Pelodiscus sinensis: one gene and its partner. Each later gene encodes a partner of the first gene's protein in a complex. Links are inferred from orthologs where the notes say so. Each region holds a gene or a part of one and is shown on either strand. Other genes may lie near its edges.

Region 1 (12,240 bases):
GTTGAGTGTATGAGTGAGATCCCCCTCCCTTCCCAGTTTTAACTTAATAAACAAGCCCTTTACCCTCTCCTTAGTGTTCAAAGCAGTTGCTATCCACATCCCCTTGCAACAAAGTTGCAGGAACCATGTGTGCAGCTCTAAATACTGCAAGCTGGGGGGGGATGGAAGGAGACTTCTCTAGCTGTTCCCACCCTCAGCACAATCTCACAGCTCTCATTGGCTAGTTTCCGGCCAATGGGAGCTAGCGCAAGAATTACTTCTACCCCCTGGCTCACTGTGTTCAGAGCAGCACACGTAGCCCATGCAGGCAACTGCTATGAGTAGCGTGTGGGGGTGGAGCAGGCAGGGAATCTGGTTAAGGAACCTGCTGAACTGCTGACTGGGAGCCGCTCAGGTAAGCACCTCCTAGCCAGAGCCTGCCTCTGGCTCTCCAGCTGCTCCATCCCCCCCAAGCCCTGTTCCTGCACCCATACCCTACGTAACCCAAACCCTACACCCCTCTTACCTGTCCCAGGTCACAATCCCCTCCTCCATCTAGATTCCCTCCCAAATCCCACACACCCCTTCCTGCATTCCAATCCCTTACCCCCTGTAGCCTTGTAATTTTGTAGGTAGTACGTTAGGGTATGTCTATACTTGCCCCTTAGTTCGAACTAGGAAGACAAATTAAGCATACCGAAGTTGCTAATGAAGCATGGGATTTAAATATCCCGCGCTTGATTAGCGTATTCGTGGCCGGTCGCCATTTTAAAAAGCTGGTAGCCCGAATTAACTCGCCGCATGTAGACGCAGTAGTCCGATCCAAAACCCTTCCCTCAAATTAACTGTTACTCCTCATTGCTTGTCCAACAGCGGGATCAAGGCCTTTCTGATCATTTCTTCTCTGTAATAATTGAAGAAAGCATATGCTTTCACAGATAGGGTTGCCAGGTGTCCAGCTTTGAACCCAACAGTCCAGTATTTGAGCTTTCTGTTCGGGAAACAAATTGAGAAAATATAAATGTCTGGTATTTTCTAAATAAGATGTAATGGAGATTGTGATGTAATATTAAGTATGTCCGGTATTTTTGTTGAAACCATCTGGCAACTCTATTCACAGACAAAACTTCCACTGACTTCAGCAATAACAAAAGTACAGGCAGTCCCCAGGTTACGTACAAGATAGGGACTGTAGGTTTGTTCTTAAGTTGAATTTGTATGTAAGTCGGAACTGGTACATATTGTAGGGGAAACTCTAGCCAAACATTTCTCCAGAGCTCAGTTTTATTCTCCCACACCTCACTTCCCTCAGTCCTTTATTCTCAAGATGCGGTGTCTGCTGAGAAAAGCCGCTCCACGTCTCCCTGGTCTGCTGAGGGGGGCGCTAGCTTCGCGTTTCCCTGGTCTGCTGGGGGGAAGCAGCTAGTGCGGGGTTGCCTCACCCCGTTTGTAAGTAGGGATCCGATGTAAGTCGGATCCATGTAACCCGGGGACTGCCTGTATACCCTATACTGAAAAATTATTAAGTGTAACTAAACATATGTATTTGAAAAATATAGTGTTTATCCCTAATTACAAAAGATGGCTTATAACATGTGCTTTACACTATGCTAATTACATAGATTTATTTTCTTCCTTTGGGTGACACCACAGAAGAGAGCCTTCTCCTCACATGGGAACTAGACCAAAGAATTTCTGCATTAGTTTAGGTACAGTCTTATAAAAAAAAGCATGAGCAAGGATGGACCTTGGATAAGTCATCGTGTAGCTTTAGTAGACCTAACACCCTAAAGACTGCAGCATATGCTCCTGTTAAGATCCATATATGCAGAGGCAGTTGTTGTGGAGCAATGTTGGCCCCCAGCCCTCAACACTTGTGCACTTTATCTCAGGCCCAGTGACAGTTGCCTTGGGGCCCAGTGATTCAAAGGCAGCAGTGGCCAGAGCCCCAGGCCTTTTAAATCACTGAGGGTATGTCTACACTACCACCCTAGTTCGAACTAGGGTGGTAATGTAGGCAACCGGAGTTGCAAATGAAGCCCAGGATTTGAATTTCCCGGGCTTCATTTGCATAAAGCAGGGCGCTGCCATTTTTAAATGTCCGCTAGTGCGGACTTCGTGCCTTGCGGCTACATGCGGCACGGACTAGGTAGTTCAGACTAGGCTTCGAGGTTTCAAGAGGGGTAACGGTAGTTCGGACTAGGAAGCCTAGCGGACATTTAAAAATGGCGGCGCCCGGCTTTATGCAAATGAAGCCCGGGTAATTCAAATCCCGGGCTTCATTTGCAACTCCGGTTGCCTACATTACCACCCTAGTTCGAACTAGGGTGGTAGTGTAGACATACCCTGATGGATTGCCACACCACACACAGCTCTGGTGGCTGGGCAGGAGTATTGCCCTGGCCTTCCCTCTTCTGCCCATGGCCCCTCCCCTTCTGGGGACACAGAGCTGCCTCCCCCCGCACACTTCAAGTAGCATGCACACATCCAGAAGGTAAATAAATGTCTTAGTTTTTATTTTATTTTTAAGCTGCTATATGAAAGCTCTATGGGGAAGAAACTGATGTGTGTTTGCAGGGGACTGGATTGGATTACCTCTCGAGGTCCCTTCCGGTTCTATGATTCAATGTGCTGGACTACTGGCATTCATAGTTTTGTTGTGTGGGCTTTATTTCATGTCTGTAGTGATGGTAACCACCAAAATATAACACACACTTTCTCCAGCTTTCCACACACAGAACCATCTCTTCTCAGCACCCTTAAGTCTTTCTTTTAAATTAAATACATTAAAAAACATTCTCTCTATCACAGAATGACTTTGTTTTCTGTTCTGATTGGAAAAGCTAAACATCGCTTTCAGCATCCAGATTCTTACTTTGTCTATAATCTTGGGAAAGTCAATTCACTTCTCTGTAAAACAGGACTAATGACACTGACCTTTGTAAAGCATTTTGAGATCTACAGATGAGAGCCAGGTATTAAATTCAGTGGCTGTGTAGGGAGAAGTAAAGATCTTGTGGAACTACTTGAGGAAAAAAAGCCCTCTCAGATAGCCCATATTTCGGGCAGATGGGTTTCCTTCAGTAAAACAGTCTTTAAAGAATAAAGTAATGTGTGAACTATTGTTGAATGCACAGTGCCTACCTCATCTGCTACACACTCCCTGTGCTGCTTATCTATCTTATTATTGTAAAGCGCCAAGGGACTCCTTGAGTAGCAAAGGAGCTAATTAAAACAAATTCTATTCTAGAAATTGCCAAGTTAACAATGTAACAGCATCCTTAGTAACTTTTCCCCGTAACTTTTTCAAATCTCTACTGTAGAAGAGAGCATTAAAATTTCTTCACACAGTGGATCCACATAATACATTAGAAATCTAAAAATGCTTTGGTGTACTCATTGATCTCACCTTCATTTCATAAAATGGTTCCTGTCGTATCACCTCATTTCCCCCTTTCCCTTGCTGATTTTTGACCACTGTCTGCTCCATCTTCCTGTGACACACAGACAATTTTACACTAATGTACTTAACGTGGAAGAAACAGTGAGAGTCAATCAGCTCGTCATCCCTGTGCTGTACATAATGGCAAGGCAAAAGCCCGAGATCCTAGCTACTACCTCCACGCACAGGAGAGAAGGGCAAACACAAGGCGGAGGAAGAGCCGCCTCTCTGAATTCCTGTAGGGCAGGCCGTGGGGTACTGGCCCCCAAAGTGGTTTAGTCAGTGCCTCTGGTGGCCGTCTCCTTCCATTTACGTGACCACAGGCCGACGACGCAGCAGGCTCTGGACTAACGTGCTTGAGTTGACGGCAGCCCCTGGCCAGGCCCAGGGGAAGTTTCCCGGGGCGCTGCTGCCGCTGGCTGGGGTGCGCGTGTGTGGCACCAGGCCATGGCTCTTACCTGCCTGCCTGCCGCTGCCGCGCCGCTGGGGGTCTCGAAGCGGCTTCTCAGCTCCTCCCAGGGGATGGCGAAGCGCTCCAGCCTGCGGCGGCCGTCCCGCGCCTCCTCCTTGGCCACTTCAGCCCCCGCGCTGGCCCGCGGCGCTTTCTCCATGGTGCTGCTGCTGCTGCCGCGGCTCTTATCCGGCGGCCGGCTCTGAACTCGGCCCTCTTGGCCGCCGGCTGCAGCTGCTCGGGTCTCCTCCTCCCGCAGGGCGGCGGCCGCTGCTGCTGGCGCGGGGCGAGCTGCCTTCCCCTCCGGGCTTGGCGAGCGCCTGCGGCGGCGGCCTCCCGCGGAGTCCCTTCGGGGACCGGCTCTCAGCGCATCGCCGGACTCCCACTGCTGCCTGAGGCGCTCCAGGGAGCCCTTCTGGATCGGGAACTTCGCCGGCTCCAGGGCGCCCTGCAAAAGCACCACGCGGCTGGGTCAAAACACGTGGCACCAACGCGTGAAGGAGACACCCGCCCGCCAGTCCCAGGCCCGCGCCTGGCGTGTAGTGGGACCCCGCAGGCGCACCCAGACATGGGCAGGCCCAAAGGCGAGGACTCACTGGGAAGCAAGGGTCGGCTCTGGAAGTGCAACGTCAGGCGGTCAATGACATAAGCAACTTCCCAGGGGAAAAATGGTCCCAGCCAGCAGGAAACAGGCGCAGGAAAAGCCTATTGCCCCTCATTTCCTTAGATGCAGCACGCACCCAACCAAAGAACTGTTATGTGGAAACCCCTGATTGTTAAGTGCTGGGAAAAGCATCACTAATAATCTCAACTCTAAAAACAAATATTGCTCAAGTTCATGGTCTGGAGCACTTCCAAGACTTCCTGGTCAAAAACAAAGCCCTATCATAAACACGTCACTTGCAATTAAGTAACTATTCTTTTTCATTGTGGTGCAACCACTCTGAATGGAGTCCCATCCCAAACCAGTTTTTCAAAGTCAAGTTCAGAGCCACAAAGGTATTTAAGGTCCTGATTTTCATTGACAAAAGTACCTTTCAGAAATACCGCAGGCACAGAGATATCAGTCATTAGATATTAGAAAGCTGTTATTTACACTTTGGATTTGCACTTTGGATTTGGATAACTGTCCAGGACTTTTCTGATAAATTAAAATCTCAAATATATATAGTTGACCTAGCTACACACATGCCTGGATGACTGGACACCTGTGGTGGGATTTTTGCAATAAAAAATCTGTGGCTCAGAAATTCTCCAGTGGAAAATTTCCTACCCAACACTGTGAATTCCACTGAATAACAAAGCAGTTCTTTTAAAAAGGGCATTACTTTCCTGCAGAACAGAAGGCATTGGTCCAGGAAAAGAAAGAACATGTTTGTTCATATGGGGTCTGACTGGTCAATAGCTGGAATTTAGCTTGAATTCAAGAACTACAAAGCTTTCTTACGTAATTTGTTAAAAATATAGTACTAGAGACTTGCCAAAAGAACTGCAGACTTTTATATTTTAATGAGTAAACAGACTATTCTGGTCTGTATTCCTAGTTGGGCACAGTCTAGGCCAGGGCTACTCAACTTTGGAAGCCCCGGGGTCCACAATGATACCCACAGTACATGCCGAGGGCCACAACTTAAGTGCAGTTGCACATATATGCAAAAATATGCAAATAGCTGCTTTGATGCTGATAGGGCATGAATACAAAGAGTATGGCAAGACTACACAACGCGCAGGCCCCATTTAAATCAGATCTGCTGATATTAATAAAATGCAATATTTACCTGATTTCCACCCATATGACAGCACTTTTAATGAGCAATGACAGTTCAGCAATTTAACTACTAAAACACGTATTAACAGAAGACCATTATATTGATTTTTTTTTTGTTTTGTCTTCACAACAGTCCAGGAATTTAACTACAAAAACACATATCAATAGAAGACCATTATATTGACTTCTTTTTTTGTTTTGGCTTCACAATTTTAACAAATCAAACAAAAACTGCCAATACAATATTTACTGCAATATCAGTACAATCAATGTGAAGTTAAAGGCACCAAGCAGAGAAGTAGCATGGCTAGAAAAGGAACTCAGGAATCTTGCTTCCCAGACTCCCTTCCTTTCCCCCGCCTGACCCACCAAGCACCAGCTCCCACAGTCCTCACAGAGCAGAGACGTGGTAGGCATGCTTTGCTGCTACCTTTTGCCACATATCTCCCCTCCCCCTGCCAGCAGGCAGCTCCCTCCCATGCGTTGATGTGGCTTGTCTCAGTGCCTTGCTGCGCAGCTCCACTCACGGAGAAGGCCATCAGAGCTTTCTTGCGCAAGAGCGTCCATGCAGTGTGGATGCTCTCTTGCACAAATGTACATCACTTTTGAGATGTGCTTTGAGGTGTGGATGTGCTCTTGTGCAAGAAGTTTTTGCTCAAAAGGCTTCTTGAGCAAGAAGCCTGCTGTGTAGACATAGCCTGACAGTATAAAGCGGCTGAGTCTAAAGGCATGTCTACTCGGCAGAGCTAAAGCCAAAATAAGCTACGCCACCTGAGCTACACCAAGGCTACGTCTACACTGGCCCCTTCTTCGGAAGAGGCATGCTAATTTCTAACTTTGGAATAGGGAAATCCGCGGGGGATTTAAATATCCCCCGCGGGATTTAAATAAACTCTTATTCCTACCTGAAATAGGCACAGAAGTAGGCACAGTCTAGGCCAGGGCTACTCAACTTTGGAAGCCCCGGGGTCCACAATGATACCCACAGTACATGCCGAGGGCCGCAACTTAAGTGCAGTTGCACATATATGCAAATAGCTGCTTTGATGCTGATAGGGCATGAATACAAAGAAGTAGGAATAAGAGATCCTCCGGAAAAGGGCTTTATTCCGGAGGATCGCGCCAGTCTGGACGCTCTTTTCCGGATTTTCCCCAAGCCGGAAAAAAAGCGGTGGCCATGTTTATTTAAATCCCGCGGGGGATTTCCCTATTCCAAAGTTAGAAATTAGCATGCCTCTTCCGAAGAAGGGGCCAGTGTAGACGTAGCCCAATTGTGTAGCTGAAATTGAAATGGCTTATTTCAGCTTTTGGTGCTATCTACACAGCAAAAAGTCTAAGAAAGTTTTGATTTTGTTTTGTTTTGTTGTGGGAAACCAGAGAGATATTAAAGTTATAAAGTGTATGTTTCTCTATGTGAAAGAAGAACTGGAGAAAGCCTTTCATAACTTTCCTTAGGTCAGATTCCAAAGTATGATATTAGCAAAAATTAGTTTATGTTTAGGGCAGTGATGGACATCAGGTGTATTATGACCACATAGGGCCTGTTTCACAGTCCATATAAGTTAATGGAATATCTCCTGTTGATTTCATGGGTCTATATAGTTTTCAGTGGCCTGTATCAGGCTGTCAGCTCTGTAGTAACCCTACCTCCAAGTCCTCTTCCATGTAGTGTCCTAAGTTTAGTTCAACTATGATTTTTTTTTATACAGCCTGCATATTTTGGGGAAAAGCTATTCTCACACATGGTTCCAACAGTATTTTGGTTTCCCCTCACCATTACAAAAATTAAGGGTATAATTTACCATTGTAACTCCATTTTTATACATGTGCAATTCCATTCAAATTAATGACAGGCATAAAATTGCAATAATGCGGCAGTGATTCAGATATTATGATAATGAAAACAATCTAGTATCTTGGTATGGAACTTATTACTACACAGTTAGCAGAATATCACTTTGTTACAAGAAAAAGGAAATGGGGTGAGGAGGCTAGGAGAGCTGAAATAGTTAATTTAGACACAGATGAGCTTTTGTATATCCATCGCTATGCAAAAAAGAAAAGAAATTAAATAGAAAATGGAGAGGAGGAATAGGTTTACTTAAAAACATATGTGCCAAATTCTGCTTTTGATAATGGCTGTGTAAATCTGGACCACTGGTCTGACTGATAATAGTTCTTGGCACACCTGTTTAAAGGTAAAGAAATGTTTAATTAGGTATCTTGTTCTTGGACTACTGCTGATATCAGACTACTGAACACAGGCAGGCCCATCTGTGAAAGTGATTTATAGATTCTTTCTCTGTAGCTCCCTGTGTTTGGCTCCTTATAATAGCTTTGTATAAATAGGAGGACATTATTTTGCCATTTGTTTCCCATGGCTATAAACATCATTTAACTAAAAACACTGCATTTTTACACTACATTGTCTGTGATGTATAGGATTATTGCAGTTAGAGACAGAAAAGGCCCATTAGATCATGGAGTCCTCCTTCACCTCCAGCAAAATAACAATAATCCCTCAGGGTGCATCTACACGGCACCCTAAACTCGAAATAAGATACACAATTTGCACTACACAAATTGCACATCTTATCTTAAATCTATTTTGAAATAGCTTATTTTGAAATTTGGCACATCGACATAGCACCAAATTTTGAAATAACACGCTATTTCAAGTCATCCCTTATCCCCATGCAACGAGGTTTACTAGGATGGCAAAATAGCACGCCCGTTATTTCGAAAAATATTTTGAAATAATGGGTGGCTTGTGTAGATGAGGGGTTGCTATTTCGGAAAACCTCTAGTATCCCAAAATAAATGTACGGCTAGAGAGGAAGTGTCAGACATTAAGCTGATATTACAGTATAGAGAAAAGACTTATTAAATCTTAGCTAAAAGGACAAAAAGTAGTGATGCATTTTTTTCAAAGACCTAAAAATATAAATCTTGAAATGCAATATCCACCAGCTGAACTTTTTAAATTGGATCCATTAAAATATAATTAATAGAGTCAGTGAAAGGCTCAGTGTGTTGATGCTGTATAAATATGTTAATTGGCTAGTGAGTTAAGTGTGTTATGCAGATATTGCCAGAAGCATTGCTGTCTATCATGAATGCAAGTGCACATTTAGGGAGAATTTCCAGTAGGTAGGAGCTAATGAATGAGTGCTGAATAATGAGTGTGTGTTGCAATGAAGGTTGTTATGACAGGTGAGTGCTGATTGTTCTCTCAGATTTGATACAGCTGTCAGTATTGTAGGGTGAGATACTGCATTTTAATGCAAATATGAGGTCAGGTATGACTGTGACAACAAACCAGCATTCTTCCTCATATAGTCATGGAGCACATGCTAGTAAAGAGATTACATATGTGCTAATTCTTCCACCATGAAAAAGATTACAGCCTGGATCAACAGTGACTTAGTCATTGCAATGCTCAGTATCATGGCACCTCATAGGAACAACATTGCAATCTACAAAGCCTGAGGACATGTTTACACTTAATTTAAATTGAAATCCAGCCTTATGTATGAAGACTTTGTAATTCTTGTGTTCTAGCTAAATTCCAGCTATTGACCAGTCAGGTTTCATATAAACAAAAATAGTTCTTCTTTTCCTAGACAGTCCTTCTGTTCTTCAGGAAAGTAGTGTTTTTTAAAGAAATTGCAGCAGTTAAGTCAGTCAGCTGTGCATCCAAACCATAATCATTGTGTTGGTGGAATGCATCCTCATTAGCATTGCTTACATCGATGCACAGAGCCGTCCGCCTTAGGTAGCTATTCCACAGTGCAACTAGCAATATGTGTTTTATAGGAACAGCTTGCCGTGCCTCATGGGATCAAAACATTGTTGCAGAGGGGAAATAGAAATATGGCTTTGACCTCCCAGGATGCAATTTTCTTCCTCCCTCTCTCCTCTGATAGCAATGGCAAATGACCCAGGGTGTTTTTACACCTTTTTTTTTCAAAAGCCTTGCTTAGCTACACATACACCATTGTCCAAGAAGCGTGGACCCCAGGCAATTGTGCATTCTTGTTGTGAGCATTACAAACACCCCATGCTTTAACCTGCTGTATTTTCAGAGCCAAGATAGCAGGAATATTTCGATGCTACTTAAGCTGCCTTGCTGCAAGTCATAGAATGAAACAATTCCTGGTTGCAGTTGGGAGTTGCACAGCAACTGAACATGGTAGAGAGCCATTTCTGGTCCCAGGAAACAAGCATTGACTGGTGGGATCGCATTGTTATGCAGCTATTGGATGATGAGCAGTGGCTGGAGAATTTTCAAATGCACAAGGCCACTTCCCAGGAGCTTTATGCAAGCTGACAGCAGCTCTGAAGTGCATCAACAGTAAAATAAGACCTACTCTGACAGTGGAAAAAGAAAGTGATGATCACTCTGTGGAATCTTGCAACACCAGATTATTATTGGACAGTGGGATATCAATTCAGAGATGGAAAATCCACTTTGGGAACTGTTTTCTACACAGCCATTATTTTGAAATAACTTTACTAGAGTCTACACAGCCAAACCGCTATTTTGAAATTAATTTGAAATAGCGGAGTGCTTATTTTGAATTTGGTAAACCTCCTTCCACGAGGAATAACTCCAAATTCGAAATAGCTATTTTGAAATAAGTCCTGTGTAGACACTTATATCAAAATAGAGGGCCTCCAGCCAGGGGCGGATATAAGCCAGGGCGAGTGGGGCAGCCACCCTGGGCCCCGCGCTTCAAGAAGCCCCGCGCATGCACCATGGCAAAGGAGGGCCCCGCGAAATTGGGCTGCCCTGGGCCCCGCAAATAATCATCTGCCTCTGCCTCCAGCCTTCCCAGGGTGCCCTGGTGGCCACTCGAGCCTCAACCAAGAACACTCCTCTCCCTCCCCCCCTCCCCGGAGCCCTTAAAGGGGTTGTCTCTGGCCACAGTGCCTGTGCCAGCTCCAAGCCTGCCAACCCAGAGCCAGCAGTCACTGCCCCTGACCCAGTGGCCCCAAAACATGAGCCAGCAAGCCACTGGCAGCCAGCCCTCCACTGCTCCCCAGGAGCAGTCTGCCAGCTCCCAGAAGCCTGCCAAGGCCCGGAGAAGGCGGGCGCCTTCCTGGTCAAGGAGGGATGCCCCCAACGTCCATGATCTCTGCACTAGACAGAGGAATGCGGCCATCTATGGGAGGATAGCTGGCAGCCTGGCCATCAAAGGCCACATGCGAACCCAGGAGCAGATTTGCATGAAAATCAAGTTGGTCCAGAGAGACCCCCAACTCTGAGCCCTGAGCTTCCCCTCCCCCTTATTCCCTTTGCTTTCCCCTTCCAGCTCCCTCCTCCCAGGTTTCCCTCTCCCACCCTCTCTTCTCCCCTCTCCCGCCTCCTTTCCCCAGTCTCACCAGAGTTTCATTCTCCCCCCCCCCCCTCAATTTTGTTAAATAAAGAGAGTTTGAGTTCACAGAAATAAATTTATTTGATTTGACATCAGGAAGGGGGGCTAGGGAGGGGTAAGTGGAAGGACGTGAGGAAGGAATGAGGCACAAGCCTCCAGTGGGGCAGACCAGGGAGGCTCTTGGTGCTCCTCAGGGTGGAAGCTCTCCCGCAGGGCCTCCCGGATACTGACAGCCCCCCAATGGACCGCCCGGATGGCAGCCTGCAGAAAGTGCAGCCAGGCTTGCAGCAACATGTCCACGAGAAGCTCCAGAGTGCCCAGGGGCAGCTCTGGCTCCATGTTGTAGAGTACTGTTGTATCCTGAGTGAGGGCAATCAGAGCATGCAAAGACAAAATGCTTTGCTGTCCCTCATCGAGGTAGGCAAGCAAGCAGGGAATGCTGAGAACCAGCTGTCCGGGGGGGATCCCTTTAAGCACAGGGATCAGCCACACAAAGTAACTCCTGACCTGATGCCCTGCCGGACCTGATTCCAGCTGGCCTTAAATGTGATTCAGCGTCCACTCAGTGTGGACACGCTATTTCGAAATAGCAAAAAGCTATTTTGAAATGCATTTTGTGTGTAGACATAAGCTATTTCGAAATAACTAATTCGAAATAAGATATTTCAAAATAACGCTGTAGTGTAGACATACCCTAAGTGTGAAGGTCAATTAATTGACTTCTGCTAAGGGTAATGACTGTGGACAATGTTCAGGACAGTGTGGAAGGTTTGGCCTTCATAGGGTTCCCAACTGTAGTGGAGCAATAGATGGCACCCACATCCTCTGTCTTGGACCGGACCATCCTGCCAAAGAGTACATAAACTGAAAGGTATTTTTCAATGTTTCTGCAGTCAAATGCTAGATCACAGAGAGTATTTCAGAGACATTAACATGGGGTGGTCAGGAAAGATGCATCTATAGGAATACAGGTTTGTTCAGAAAGCTACGACCAAGGACTTTCTTTCCAAATTGCAAAATAACCACTGATGATGTTGAAATGCCAATAGTGATCTTTGGAGACCCATCCTATATCTTGCTTCCATGGCTCATGAAGCCATACACTGGCTACCTGGACAGCAGTAAGGAGCAGGTCAACAATAGGCTGAACAAGTGCAGAATGGGAGTGGAAGGTGCCGTCAGATATTTAAAGCATCACTGGCACGGTTTACTCAATAAGACT
Region 2 (12,486 bases), on another chromosome or scaffold:
CCATTTGTACAAACACATCTGGTATTTGTGCCTTCAATGAATTGCAAGCAGGCATGTCTATGTCCAGCTTTGAAAATGTGTCCCTAAAACCAGTAAATGTGTCTAGAAACCAGTATTTGAAATTCCAACATAATGTGATGCCTCTCAGAAGGCCGTGACAGCAGGGGTTAAACCCGGTACCTTTGACTCTAAAAGCATAAGCCTCTACTGCCTGAGTTAAAAGATCTGAATTTCCTAGGCAAGGCTAGATTAGGCTCATTAACCTTTATGCATGGCTCAGTCACTACAGAAATACAGACTGCTACAATTAGTAGGAATGAACTACACACAGAATCCTATAATGGAATCTTATTCCAACCTGCAGAAATAATTTCAGCTTAACACCTGATAGGGGCCACTATTTGTCACACAATGCTCATGGGTGGATCAGCAGCAGAAGCAGTCAAACCAGGACTTCTGAATCAAAAACGTATGTCTCAGCAACTGAGCTAAAAGACTCATCTGTTAACTGAAAGGCAGTAGCTGCCTCTTGAACACTTATGTACTGCAGATCCCACTAGATGGGAAACAGAAAGCTACATTGAGTAGGTGTACTGAGTGGGATACAATTGCAAAAGAAGAGTCAAAGGACCAAACTCTGTTAGTTCAAATTCAGTCACTATGCAGCCCTACAGAAGTTATATGGATACGCTCAATACATTTGCACATGTGTAATTGAGGGCAGAATCTGGCACAGGAACAATGGTACACACCGGCTATTATTAGCTTTTAACAGCAACAAATGATATCCTGAACAATTTGTTCAAATTGGATATGAATCTTAAAATGAAAATCAAACTCTGAAACATTAGAGAAATTACATTCAATAAGGATTTAATTAAGACATAATTTATCATGCATTCACATTCAATATCCAATACAGAGAAAAACAGCTTGAAACAACAGTTAACCGAGTCATAATTACTCTTCTCATTTTAACCAACAATAAATAATTTTTGTCTCCAGTTTACGGACAATTCTCAGAACCACAGTGTAGTACCTAGAATTCTCTTGTAGTTAAAGACAAGAAAACAAAGGAAATCCGAACGGCAACAAATTCATTTTCAATTAATTTTTATTAGCTATCATTAAACACTATTAATTCACAAAAACGGCAATTAAAGTTCTGGCAGGATCTAATCTTCACAATGTCCAACCAATGGCAAGGAGATGCTGAATCAGAAAGAACTACAATTTGGACTACATTATGTGGCAAATTAGATAGTGAGCAGCATTATATTTAATTGGAATTTGCTAAAGGAAACATTAGCAACATGCACATCTGAAATACAGTATGATGAATCAAGAGGCAAGCTATTTTCCTTCTATAAAAGGACTAAGATTATTTGCTTAACAACTTTATTTGTATTCAGCTTCCTACCTCCCCCACAACAGCACCCATATCCCCTTTTAAAAAAGAACAATAAAAACAAATTAAGGCATCCAATGTAAATGTTGAAAGCAAAGGGGCTAGAAAGGAAAGTCACGCAAAAGTCCAACATAAGTGAAAATTAAAGGCATCTTTAAAACTATTATTTAATTAAAAGAAATTAAATTGGATGTATCTGAGAGGGAAGCAACATAGGGATCATCACAAAGTGTGAACATCGGCTGACTGCAATGGAAGAATTGTTGGAACAGTGGCATGTGAGAACAGATACCTCCCTGAACAAGACCAGAGGCTTACATGCCATAAAGGGCTTTAACAATAATAGTGCCAATTTCAAGTCAGATACTAAAGCATGAAAGATGAGAATACCACCATCATTATATCTCAAGCTATGAGCAATCATGCCATTCCATTTTGACAGAATATGTGTTGACAGCCTCGCAAGGAAGGAAAGAAAATAACCCAGGCTTGTAGTCATAAGGTCATGTGCTCCAGCTATCACAATGTCATTTTAGGGTAAAACTGCAAGCCACACAAAGTCATTAAAACCTATTTCTGTTGGACTTTCCCGTATTACCTTCATTGCAAGTCCCTTTCCCTTCCACATTTTCCACTTGGCAATGAGCAAATTGGGTCTGAAAGCCTCTGTGTGCGTGTGTGTTCACATGGGTGTATGTGTATAGAGAGAGAGAGGTTTTCAGGTAAATTTTGTTCATTACCAAGTAAATACACTAATCCATCTCCATATTTGCGTGAATAATAGCTCCTCCCTAAATAGTTGTGTAAAATGTTTATAAAAAAGAGCTATAAACATGGTTGGATCCAAAAGCAAACTGGAATATTCACTGTGCTCTGTTCCCAAACTTGGTGCAGCTGCTGGCAGAAGCAAGTGAAGACAATTCCCCTAGAAACTGCCAGCAGCTTCATAGCTGTGTGCGTCTTCTTGTAACTAAAAAGAGTTAAGAGATTCTGGCACCATTCCTAGAATGAAGAAGTTATAGAGGGGGAATTTCCTCCCTGAGAACTGTAGGGCTTTTCTAGTGATAGTGAAAATTCAGTTAGGGTGAAGGTTTGGAAGGATTAAAAAAATTTACTTTGAACCTGCTCTAATACCCACTATACCCAATAAAAACAAATCCAATGATTTTAGTGAGTAATGGATCAGGCTCAAAATGTGGGTTCCATTTTAGTATATTAAAAAGAATTCCCTTTCATATTATATTGGCTCTGGACCATTACAACTTCTTATAATAATATCATGCAGGATTAGGAATCATTATCCTTTGAAAGCTTCACATATCTCAGTGAAAATCTAACACACACTTTCACCAAAAGCTGCCTCTCTGAACCATTACTGAGTTTGAAGCTCATTTTAACTTATTTATTCATTTTAGCCTCCAAACCTACACAAAAAAAATGAAAGAAAGTTATATTCATAATATTTATCTACTGAACAATAGCAGCAGCCACCACAACCACCGATACACTTTTCAATAATAATTCCTAATTTAAAGAAAGAGTTTATCAGCACTGTTCAGGGTATTTTTTGACTTTGTGACAGCAATCAATTACGTCTAGAAATGAGTAGTATTGAAAGAATAAATGGCTTTCAGGTCAACTTAATGCTTCATTTTCACTGTGGCTTTTATCTGACTTGACAGGCTTGTATTGTATTAAACTCAGTACCTTTCCAATAAAAACACATGGATAACCATTAGTACCTTTGATAAAAATATTAATATAACTTGTATAACTTCTTAAGATAATTTGATGTTACTGAGTTATCATCTTACTGGCCTCTCTTAAGGCTGTATCTAATACCCAGCCCACACCAAAATTAACGTATTCCCACACAACATTCAGGCAGAAAAAAAGTTTTGACCCTTTCAAGCTTCATTCTCTACCCAGCATGATAACTCCATTCCAGATTAATCATTTTTCTAGTGGCCATCTATTCTTCCTGAATAAACATCCTCCAGTAATGAATTTTCTGCATCCTCTGTAGTCTAGTTTCTGCATGTATTAATCTCACAAAGTCAACATACTTATTCACCTTGGATAATAGTGTCACAAAATGTTTATACATCATGTTATAATACAAGGTGAACCAGCCCCCAATTTGTAGTCCTGCTACTCAAGAGCCAAAACATCCCAGCCTAGAGCTGGTTAGAAAGATCATTAAAGGCAAATCACCATCTCTCATATAATGGTTTATCTTGCTGTTAGTAACTATATATACTTAATCCACGAAGGAAAGCAATCCCATCACAAACAGAACCTCAATTACTGCACATTTGCAAAGTTCCTCCTGGGACTCAAGTTTCCACAATAAATACAAACCCAAACCTCCACTTTCATAATTCACTCAGAGGACCAGGTCCTCAGCTGACAAATAAAACGGATGTAAAATAGAACTCCTCAAAATTATGACCACTAAGGATCTGATCCAATGTATGTGTGCCAAATAAAGACATACATTAGATTCCTTTAATAACTCATTTGGCATTTGTTAACTGAGTGCCTTTAGGAGATACTATCACTCTTTAATGGAGTTTCCTCATACATATATTCTTTGATAGCACCTTTATATTATTATTGTATGTTTTACTCTATCATGCAGGCGCTCAGAATTTAGGATGGGCACCTCCAGCTACATTTTACAAATACGAAGAAATAAGAATAATACAAAAAAACTTTTAAAGAAAGGAATTTAATTAAAGGATACAAATGGTTACAATCACTTACATCACTTATAATTTCAGTGCATCTTCTGGCCAGTTCCATGTTTCTGTCCTCAATAACAGGCTTAAGGAACACCTATCAAAAAAAAAAAAAAGAAAGCATTTCAATATCACTAACCTAAAACAGTGAAAAAAGAAGCTCCTTTTCAGTTATCACTGCCACCACCTTTTCTTCTTCTTCCTCCTCTTCACTTTCATCCTCCTTGAAATCCTGAATGAGAGGCATTCTTTTTTAATATTTAAAAAATATAGTTAAAAATGTAAAAGGCCACTGCTACAGCAAACTGTTTATGTTCTACTACTTTTCTATGATGTAGGCTCCTCTTGTGTCCTTCACTAAGTTTAACCTTACCAAGGCTTCTTCCTTATTTAGACAACACTTGAAAGTCTTTATCAGAAAAATTCCATATGAGTGACCTAGAAGACATTACAGATGGCCTTGCTAACCGAGCTAGTGCTTTCTTACAGATAAAGTATAAGTAAACAATGCCTAAATGTCTAAGACACATTTAATTAAAGCACTGTAATTCAGTAACTATGCAAGGTAAATAATTTAATGAAATTAGCTGGCTCAAAAGGGTGACATGAATCCTAATATTATGGGGAAACCATTCAGTTCTAGCTTTTAAGATATCTCAGACCCCAAATCAGCTGTCATAAAACTTCTTCACTCAGTCTAAATAAAGTTTGTACAGAAAAGGAACATATACCCTTACTTTTCTAATACAGAGAGTTTGGATAATTCACAAATGCTTTATTAAATGTAATTTTAGAATGTAATATATGTTATTTTTCATGCTCCTAACTGAAAAGGTTCCTTTCTGTAAGGATGAAATCTAAAATGTTCCTTTCAATACTCTTAAAATGCTTCCGGCCTCATATCAGCTAAAGTAATATTCATACATACACACATATCAACACTCTACAGAAGATAATATACCATGATCATACATATACAGGCAGTCCCCGAGTTACGCGGATCCGACTTACGTCTCCCCCAGCAGACCAGGGAGACGCGGAGCAAAGCCGCGGAGCTCGCGGGCGGGACCGCGGCGCGTCTCGGCGGTCCCGCCACCCGCATCTCCCTGGTCTGCTGGGGGGGGGGGGGGAGGGGAAACTAGCTGCCCCTCCCCCGGTCTTCCTGGAATCAGCCGCTGATCAGTTTCAGCAGCGGCTAACTTGGGGACACCTGGGGTAGAGCAGCTGGGGTGCTGCTGGGTTGATCCCCGCAGTGCTGAGGTGCGGCGCTGTGGGGACCTACCCGGCAGCGCCCCAGCTGCTCTGAGCATAGATCTATTGGAATGGAAGCTGCCTTACTACTAGAAGAAGTTATTTCACCTGCTGCTCTGTACGAATGTATTGTAAGGTTCAAAGTAAAAAAGCTAGCTGGATCGACAATCATTCTAAATGTGATTTTATTTTCCTAATGCTACCACATCACATCACAACTTCATACTGCATCCCACAAAGAGATTCCACTGCAGTGAAGTCCACATCCAGGCTTCATCTCACAGGTCTATGGTAGTAGATTTCTATGTGTTCTTGGAGCCGATATCCACATAGAAAACATAAGGAATGTGTAGTGTTTGAATGTAAACTTCCCAAAATACCAAAATGTAATTGTGGCTAACATATGCCTCCCATTTGTTGTTTGGAACAAGAGCACTTCATTAGAAAAAGACATGAAAACAAACAGAACATTTGTGCCTGAGCAAAAAGTATAAGGAGGTTTAGAGTTTTTTAATATTTGAGAAAAACAGACAACTCTCAACCTACTGTAACCCACAGACAGAAGGCACTTATGCATTAATGATAGACAAAGATTTCAAATGACTTATCTTGCTGTTTTAATAAATAAGCTCCTACATTTTGAGAGTGACAGTCATTGTGGGCACCCAAATTGACACCCATAAGGCCTGATTTCCTGAGTTGTTGTGCCGCCACACTTCCCATTGACTTCTTTAGGAGCTGTAGGTACATACCGCATCTCTAAAAATTGGGCCCCAAAATCTCCAACAACAACAATTGGACAATTTTTGCTACAATGGTGAGGTCAAGCACTCACAACAACTGGTCACTTCTGCAAATGTCAGGCATAATAAATGTCTTTCTGGGCAACTATAGTAATTGCTACATGATGTGGCAATTCGCTTCTCTGGCATACAGAGCACTTGTTATAGACAACACAAATGCAGTACAGCGATGAGTTGTGGACTTCTGGTGTTGATACCAAGGTGAAATGTTGAAAAACGCAAATATCTCTGCATTATAAATAAAAGGCTCTGCACTTAAAATTTCCTTGTTCCTCCCCCAAATTCAATATATTTGGAAAGGAAAGATGTCAGAATAATTAAGGGAGAATGGAGGAGACTTTAATAAGCATAAAAGTAATTGCTACATTTTGCAAAACTTCAGCATGGGCTAAGCTGCTATTTTTCCACTGAAAGTCAACTGGTCAAAAATTACAAATTCTGAACTGCTTGGATTTTTAGATTACTTAAAAGATTAACACTACAAATAATGGATATTCAGAGTACTGATGCAACAGTAATTACATCTTAATTGTAATTTTCCTGCAATGTTTTCTCCATAGCAAGATCAGCTTTTTCCTTACCATAATCTAAGTTTTTATTTCTGAAAGAGCAGGATCAGCTATATTTTTTATAGGCCTCCTCCTCCCTCCAGCCCACAGTTTATTCAAATATGCTGGACCTTTCAGCAGACTTCCATTAGCTACACATCTAGAGAATTGAGGGTTTCATAACTAATCATATTGAGGAAAGAAATGCCAAAATTACAATTTCTAAGGGAGTGGAAGGGAAATCATGCCACAACACACCACCACAGCTATAATACAATATAGAACGATTCGGTGTGGCAGTCTCCAGGGGACAGAAGGCACTAAGCAGACACTATCAGATGCCGGCCGTCCACCAAAAACACAGGGCTCTGCTGGATAATATGTCATCCAACAAAGTGACAGAGAAGCAACTCTTTTGGCAATAAGCTCACTGAAATACAGTCCCGAAAGAGATTTGTTAAGAAAAACTAAGACTACATAGTTTAAAATGCAGGGGGTAGGAGTGTTAGTTTCCCTGGTGCCTGTCTATACACATGTACCCACCCGTGCCTCACCTTCTTCCTCCACCCCCTCTGCAAGGCCCACAACCATGACTTCCTCCATGACTTGCTCTCCCAAACCTTCACTTATTTTCATTTGACTGGGGATAAAGGGTTTGCAGTGTGGGAGGGGGCTCTGGGCTGAGCCTGGAGAAGGGTTTTGGATGGAGGATGGGGTACTGGCTCTGGAAGGGAATTTTGGTGAAGCAGGGGCTCGGGGCTAGGGGACAGGATTGGGGTGCAGAAGTGGTACGGACTCTGGAAGAGAGTTTAGATGTGGAAGGAAGTTCAGGGCTCAAGCGCGGGTTGGGTGCAGGAGAGGGTGAGGGTGCAGGCTCTGGCCAGGCGTTTACCTAATGGGGCTGATCAACAGTGCAGTGGGGCCAAGGAAAGCTTCCAGCTTGCCCTGTCCCCACATCACTCTCCAAAGCAGCCTTTCTGCAACCCCTAGGTAAGGGAGCTTGGTGGCTCTGCACGCTGCCCCTGCTTGAAGGCATTGCCCCCACAACTCCCGTTGGCTGTTGCTCCCAGAGCCATCACTTGGGGTAGGGGCAGTGCAGAGGCCCCCTGATCCCACCCCAAGGCAGCAGAGAGGGACACGCCAGCCACTTCTGAGAAGGTGGGACAGCTATCATTTATGTTGCTCTTATTTTTACTCTAGTAAAAAACAAACTAGAGGTACTACCATAAAATATAGCCTGAATTTACCCTAACACTGTTTACATCACTAAAATGATCATAAATGTTTTCCCACAGTTTAACCACAAAAACATGCACTTACCTTGTGCTCTAGTAAGAAAACACTTTCCAGTATAAATACTGCAATCCACAGCCAGCCTTTCCAGCATAAAATCATCATAGATTTAGTACAACCCAATTGCACAAGGATTTAAAAAGCAAGCAAAAAAAAAAAAAACCCTGACGCTTACTCTTACAGATGTATTATGTAGTGTGTACCACAATGTACTAAAGGAGAAGAAAAACAGATAAATTGAGTAATCAAGAACTTCAATTATTAGCATCAGTGTGGTATGACGCTACTTTGCCCTCTGTCAATTCTGATCTGCTGAAACATTTCATAGTGGGTTTGGGGTTTTTTACTAGTTATTTTGCAAAATGTCATCTGGAGTACAGGGTGTCCCCGCTATAAGTCGCTCGGGTATACATCCATTCTGCACTAAAGTCGTTGATGCCTGTAGGAACTAATGCATTTCCCACTTTAAGTTGTTTTGCTATAAGTTCACGTTTTTTGGAACATATAGGCAAACAACACAGGAATGCAGGAGCAAGATTAGAAAGGCAAAGGCACAAAATGAGCTCAAACTAGCTACGGGAATAAAGGGAAACAAGAAGACTTTTTATAAATACATTAGAAGCAAGAGGAAGACCAAGGACAGGTTAGGCCCACCGGTCAGTGAGGAGGGAGAAACAGTAACAGGAAACTTGGAAATGGCAGCGATGCTTAATGATTTCTTTGTTTTGGTCTTCACCAAGAAGTCTGAAGGAATGCCTAACATAGTGAATGCAAGTGGGAAGGGGGGAGGTTTAGAACATAAAAGAAAAAAAGAACAAGTTAAAAATCACTTAGAAATGTTAGATGCCTGCAAGTCACCAGGGCCTGATGAAATACATCCTAGAATACTCAAGGAGCTGATAGAGGAGGTATCTGAGCCTCTAAGCTATCATCTTTGGAAAATCATGGGAGACAGGAGACATTCCAGAAGACTGGAAAAGGGCAAATATAGTGCCCATATATAAAAAGGGAAATAAGAACAACCCAGGAAACTACAGACCAGTTAGTTTAACTTCTGTGCCAGGAAAGATAATGGAGCAAGTAATTAAGGAAATCACCTGTAAACTCTTGGAAGGTAGCAAGATGATAGGGAACAGCCAGCATGGATTTGTAAAGAATAAATCCTGTCAAACCAATCTGATAGCTTTCTTTGATAGGATAACGAGTCTTGTGGATAAGGGAGAAGCGGTGGATGTGGTATACCTAGACTTTAGTAAGGCGTTTGATACGGTCTCGCATGATATTCTTATCAATAAACTAGGCAAATACAACTTAGATGGGGCTACTATAAGGTGGGTGCATAACTGGCTGGATAATCGTACTCAGATAGTAGTTATTAATGGTTCACAATCCTGCTGGAAAGGTATAACAAGTGGGGTTCCGCAGGGCTCTGTTTTGGGACCGGCTCTGTTCAATATCTTCATCAACGATTTAGATATTGGCATAGAAAGTACGCTTATTAAGTTTGCAGATGATACCAAGCTGGGAGGGGTTGTGACTAATCTGGAGGATAGGGTCATAATTCAAAATGATCTGGACAAATAGGAGAAATGGTCTGAGGTAAACAGGATGAAGTTTAATAAAGACAAATGTAAAGTGCTCCACTTAGGAAGGAACAATCCATTTCACACAGAGAATGGGAAGCAACTGTCTAGGAAAGAATACGGCAGAAAGGGATCTAGGGATTATAGTGGACCACAAGCTGAATATGAGTCAGCAGTGTGATGCTGTTGCAAAGAAAGCAAACATGATTCTGGGATGCATTAACAGGTGTGTTGTGAGCAAGACACGAGAAGTCATTCTTCCGCTCTACTCTGTGCTGGTTAGGCCTCAGTTGGAGTATTGTGTCCAGTTCTGGGCACCGCATTTCAAGAAAGATGTGGAGAAATTGGAGAGGGTCCAGAGAAGAGCAACAAGAATGATTAAAGATCTAGCGAACATGACCTATTAAGGAAGGCTGAAAGAATTGGGTTTGTTTAGTTTAGAAAAAGAGAAGACTGATGGGGGACATGATAGCCATTTTCAGATATCTAAAAGGGTGTCATAAGGAGGAGGGAGAAAACTTGTTCATCTTGGCCTCTGAGGATAGAACAAGAAGCAATGGGCTTAAACTGCAGCAAGGGAGGTTTAGGTTGGACATTAGGAAAAAGTTCCTAACTGTCAGGGCAGTCAAACACTGGAATAAATTGCCCAGGGAGGTTGTGGAATCCCTATCTCTGGAGATATTTAAGAGTAGGTTAGATAAATGTCTATCAGGGATGGTTTAGACAGCATTTGGTCCTGCCATGTGGGAAGGGGACTGGACTCGATGACCTCTCGAGATCCTTTCCAGTCCTAGTATTCTATGATTCTATGATATCTTGAACTTATAGCAAGGATGACCTGTAACTACTTCAGAAGAAGGTGCAAAACGTGTCATAACTTATAGAACAATGTATATCACAATGGTCTTGATAAATTCCTCCAGAAAAGTAATGTTCACTTGAGTAGGCTGCTCAATGTTTCTATGGAAGAAGAAGCAACCATATCCTATATATCAGAAGTAGAAGGGAAATTGAATAGGGACTGTAGCTCCTCTTCTTCTAAATCTATTCAAACTAAGCTAAAAAGGGTAGTCAGGTACTGCATCAAACACTTCTTAAAATCTGCATCTTGTCCAGATTTATTTTCTTCTAAGGAAAAACTATGAAAGTCAGTATAATGAGGACTCAAGAATTCACCTTAATATCTTTCAAGTAAAAAGAACACTTGATTGGTTTGCAGATCCCATGCAGAAGAAAGGATTACAGGAACCAAATAAATAGACAGGTTTTTATTTTCCATCAGCTAATCTTATAAGACAGAAGACATTCCCATTCCTCATCCAGTCAGATCACACTCAAATAGGGTTTAAGATAATCTATCATTTTAGAAAAGATGTACCTGACTGCAGTTTGGGAATCTCTACCATACAAATAAACATTATGGAACTGATATAGGAACTTCAACTGATGGACTCTCTGGCAGCAGTATTTTCAGTGTAGCAATATCTGGGATATAGGGCATCTACCCTGTATATATGTTTCTCTGGTGAGTTTTCTTGTGCCACTGCTGTTTAGAATCCAGTTGCCTAACAGGTGGACTCCCATGAAGCACAATGGGAAAATTAGCTCTTTACTTGTACATTTTGTTTTTGCTATAATTAGATCCATCAGTTGGTAACCCTCGCCCATTTTGTGACTTTTTTTCCCCTGAAAGCTTAAGCTATATATTTTTCCAAGACACACATGATTTCTTCCTCGTAGGCTTTGTTGGAAATTGGCTTGGTTATCTGTATTTGTTGTATCTGAATTTTCTAATACAGGTTGAACCTCTCTAGTCCAGCATTCTCTGGCCCAGCACAATTTTAGTTAGCTGTATGTCCACTTACCATGGGGGTTGACAGGTTTTCCTCAGTCACCTGAAGTGTGTTTACAGCCACCAGTCCTAGTTCTCAGTGTTCTGTGCAGTTATCTAGCTCTAATTTAGCCTTGAATGTCCTCTAAGAGACCAGTAAGCTGTGGAAGTGTGGTAATGATGCTAGACAATATTGACCTCTCATGGTTCAGCAAATTCTCTGGTTCAACATTGGTCAGGTCCCAAAAGTGTTGGATTAGAGAGGTTCAACTTATATTTTACTTCAGTTATACATTAAATGGAGCAGACAGTGCAATAACCCACTGAGACATGAAAATGTGCTTTGTCACTCTGGCTCCATAAGTACATGAGTTACTACCCAGAGCACTTCACTCATGGAACTAATTAGCAGAAACTCACTTTACCAGCAGGGTTTTAACTGGGGGTGTTAAAATGTATTTATTAAGGTAAACATGTAACTGCTGAAGATTTCAATGGTTACACATTACACAGGGGGAGTCACATGTCCTGCCTTTTCCCTCTGTGCTGCTGCCTCTGTATCAGAGGCAGCAGTGTGTGGGGGGAGGGTGTGCAGGAGCCGGTGTGCATGGAGAGTCGGCTTTTAAGTCAAGGAACACTGTCTCTTCTAAGAAGGACTTAAAACACACACACTGAGCTTCATAGTCAGATTTTCTACTTAACCCATTTTTCCCTGATTGTTGGGGGGTATAATTGTCTTAATCAATGTTGTAATAATTTACGTGAAGCAAAATGCAGGACAATGTAGCACTTTAAAGACTAACAAGATGGTTTATTAGATGATGAGCTTTCGTGGGCCAGACCCACTTCCTCAGATCAAATAGTGGAAGAAAAAAGTCACAACCATATATACCAAAGGATACAATTAAAAAAAATGAACACATATGAAAAGGACAAATCACATTTCAGAACAGGAGGGGGATGCAGGGGGGGGGAGGAAGGAAGGTAAGTGTCTGTGAATTGACGATATTAGAGGTGGGGAGAGTGGG

Evidence for each region.
Region 2: the proteins of XIRP2 (region 1) and NEBL are in contact, whole or in part, in a crystal structure (PDB 4F14), measured with the Homo sapiens proteins. The link is inferred for Pelodiscus sinensis from reciprocal best matches to the Homo sapiens genes XIRP2 and NEBL. Residues at the interface, in NP_689594.4 of Homo sapiens: Pro2420, Pro2421, Pro2422, Thr2423, Leu2424, Pro2425, Lys2426, Pro2427; in NP_006384.1 of Homo sapiens: Tyr963, Asp964, Tyr965, Asp969, Asp971, Glu972, Ile987, Asp988, Asp989, Gly990, Trp991, Met1004, Pro1006, Asn1008, Tyr1009.

The regions. Positions count from the first base shown.
Region 1 is NC_134717.1:37,959,491-37,971,730, reverse strand, and holds the start of XIRP2 (xin actin-binding repeat-containing protein 2), read right to left. Parts: upstream 4,610-12,240; 5' UTR 4,033-4,609; coding exon 3,880-4,032; intron 2,020-3,879; exon of another isoform or gene 1-2,019.
Region 2 is NC_134712.1:221,697,969-221,710,454, forward strand, and holds the start of NEBL (nebulette), read right to left. Parts: upstream 4,620-12,486; 5' UTR 4,397-4,619; coding exon 4,337-4,396; intron 4,247-4,336; coding exon 4,175-4,246; intron 1-4,174. UniProt on the Homo sapiens protein: Binds to actin and plays an important role in the assembly of the Z-disk. May functionally link sarcomeric actin to the desmin intermediate filaments in the heart muscle sarcomeres.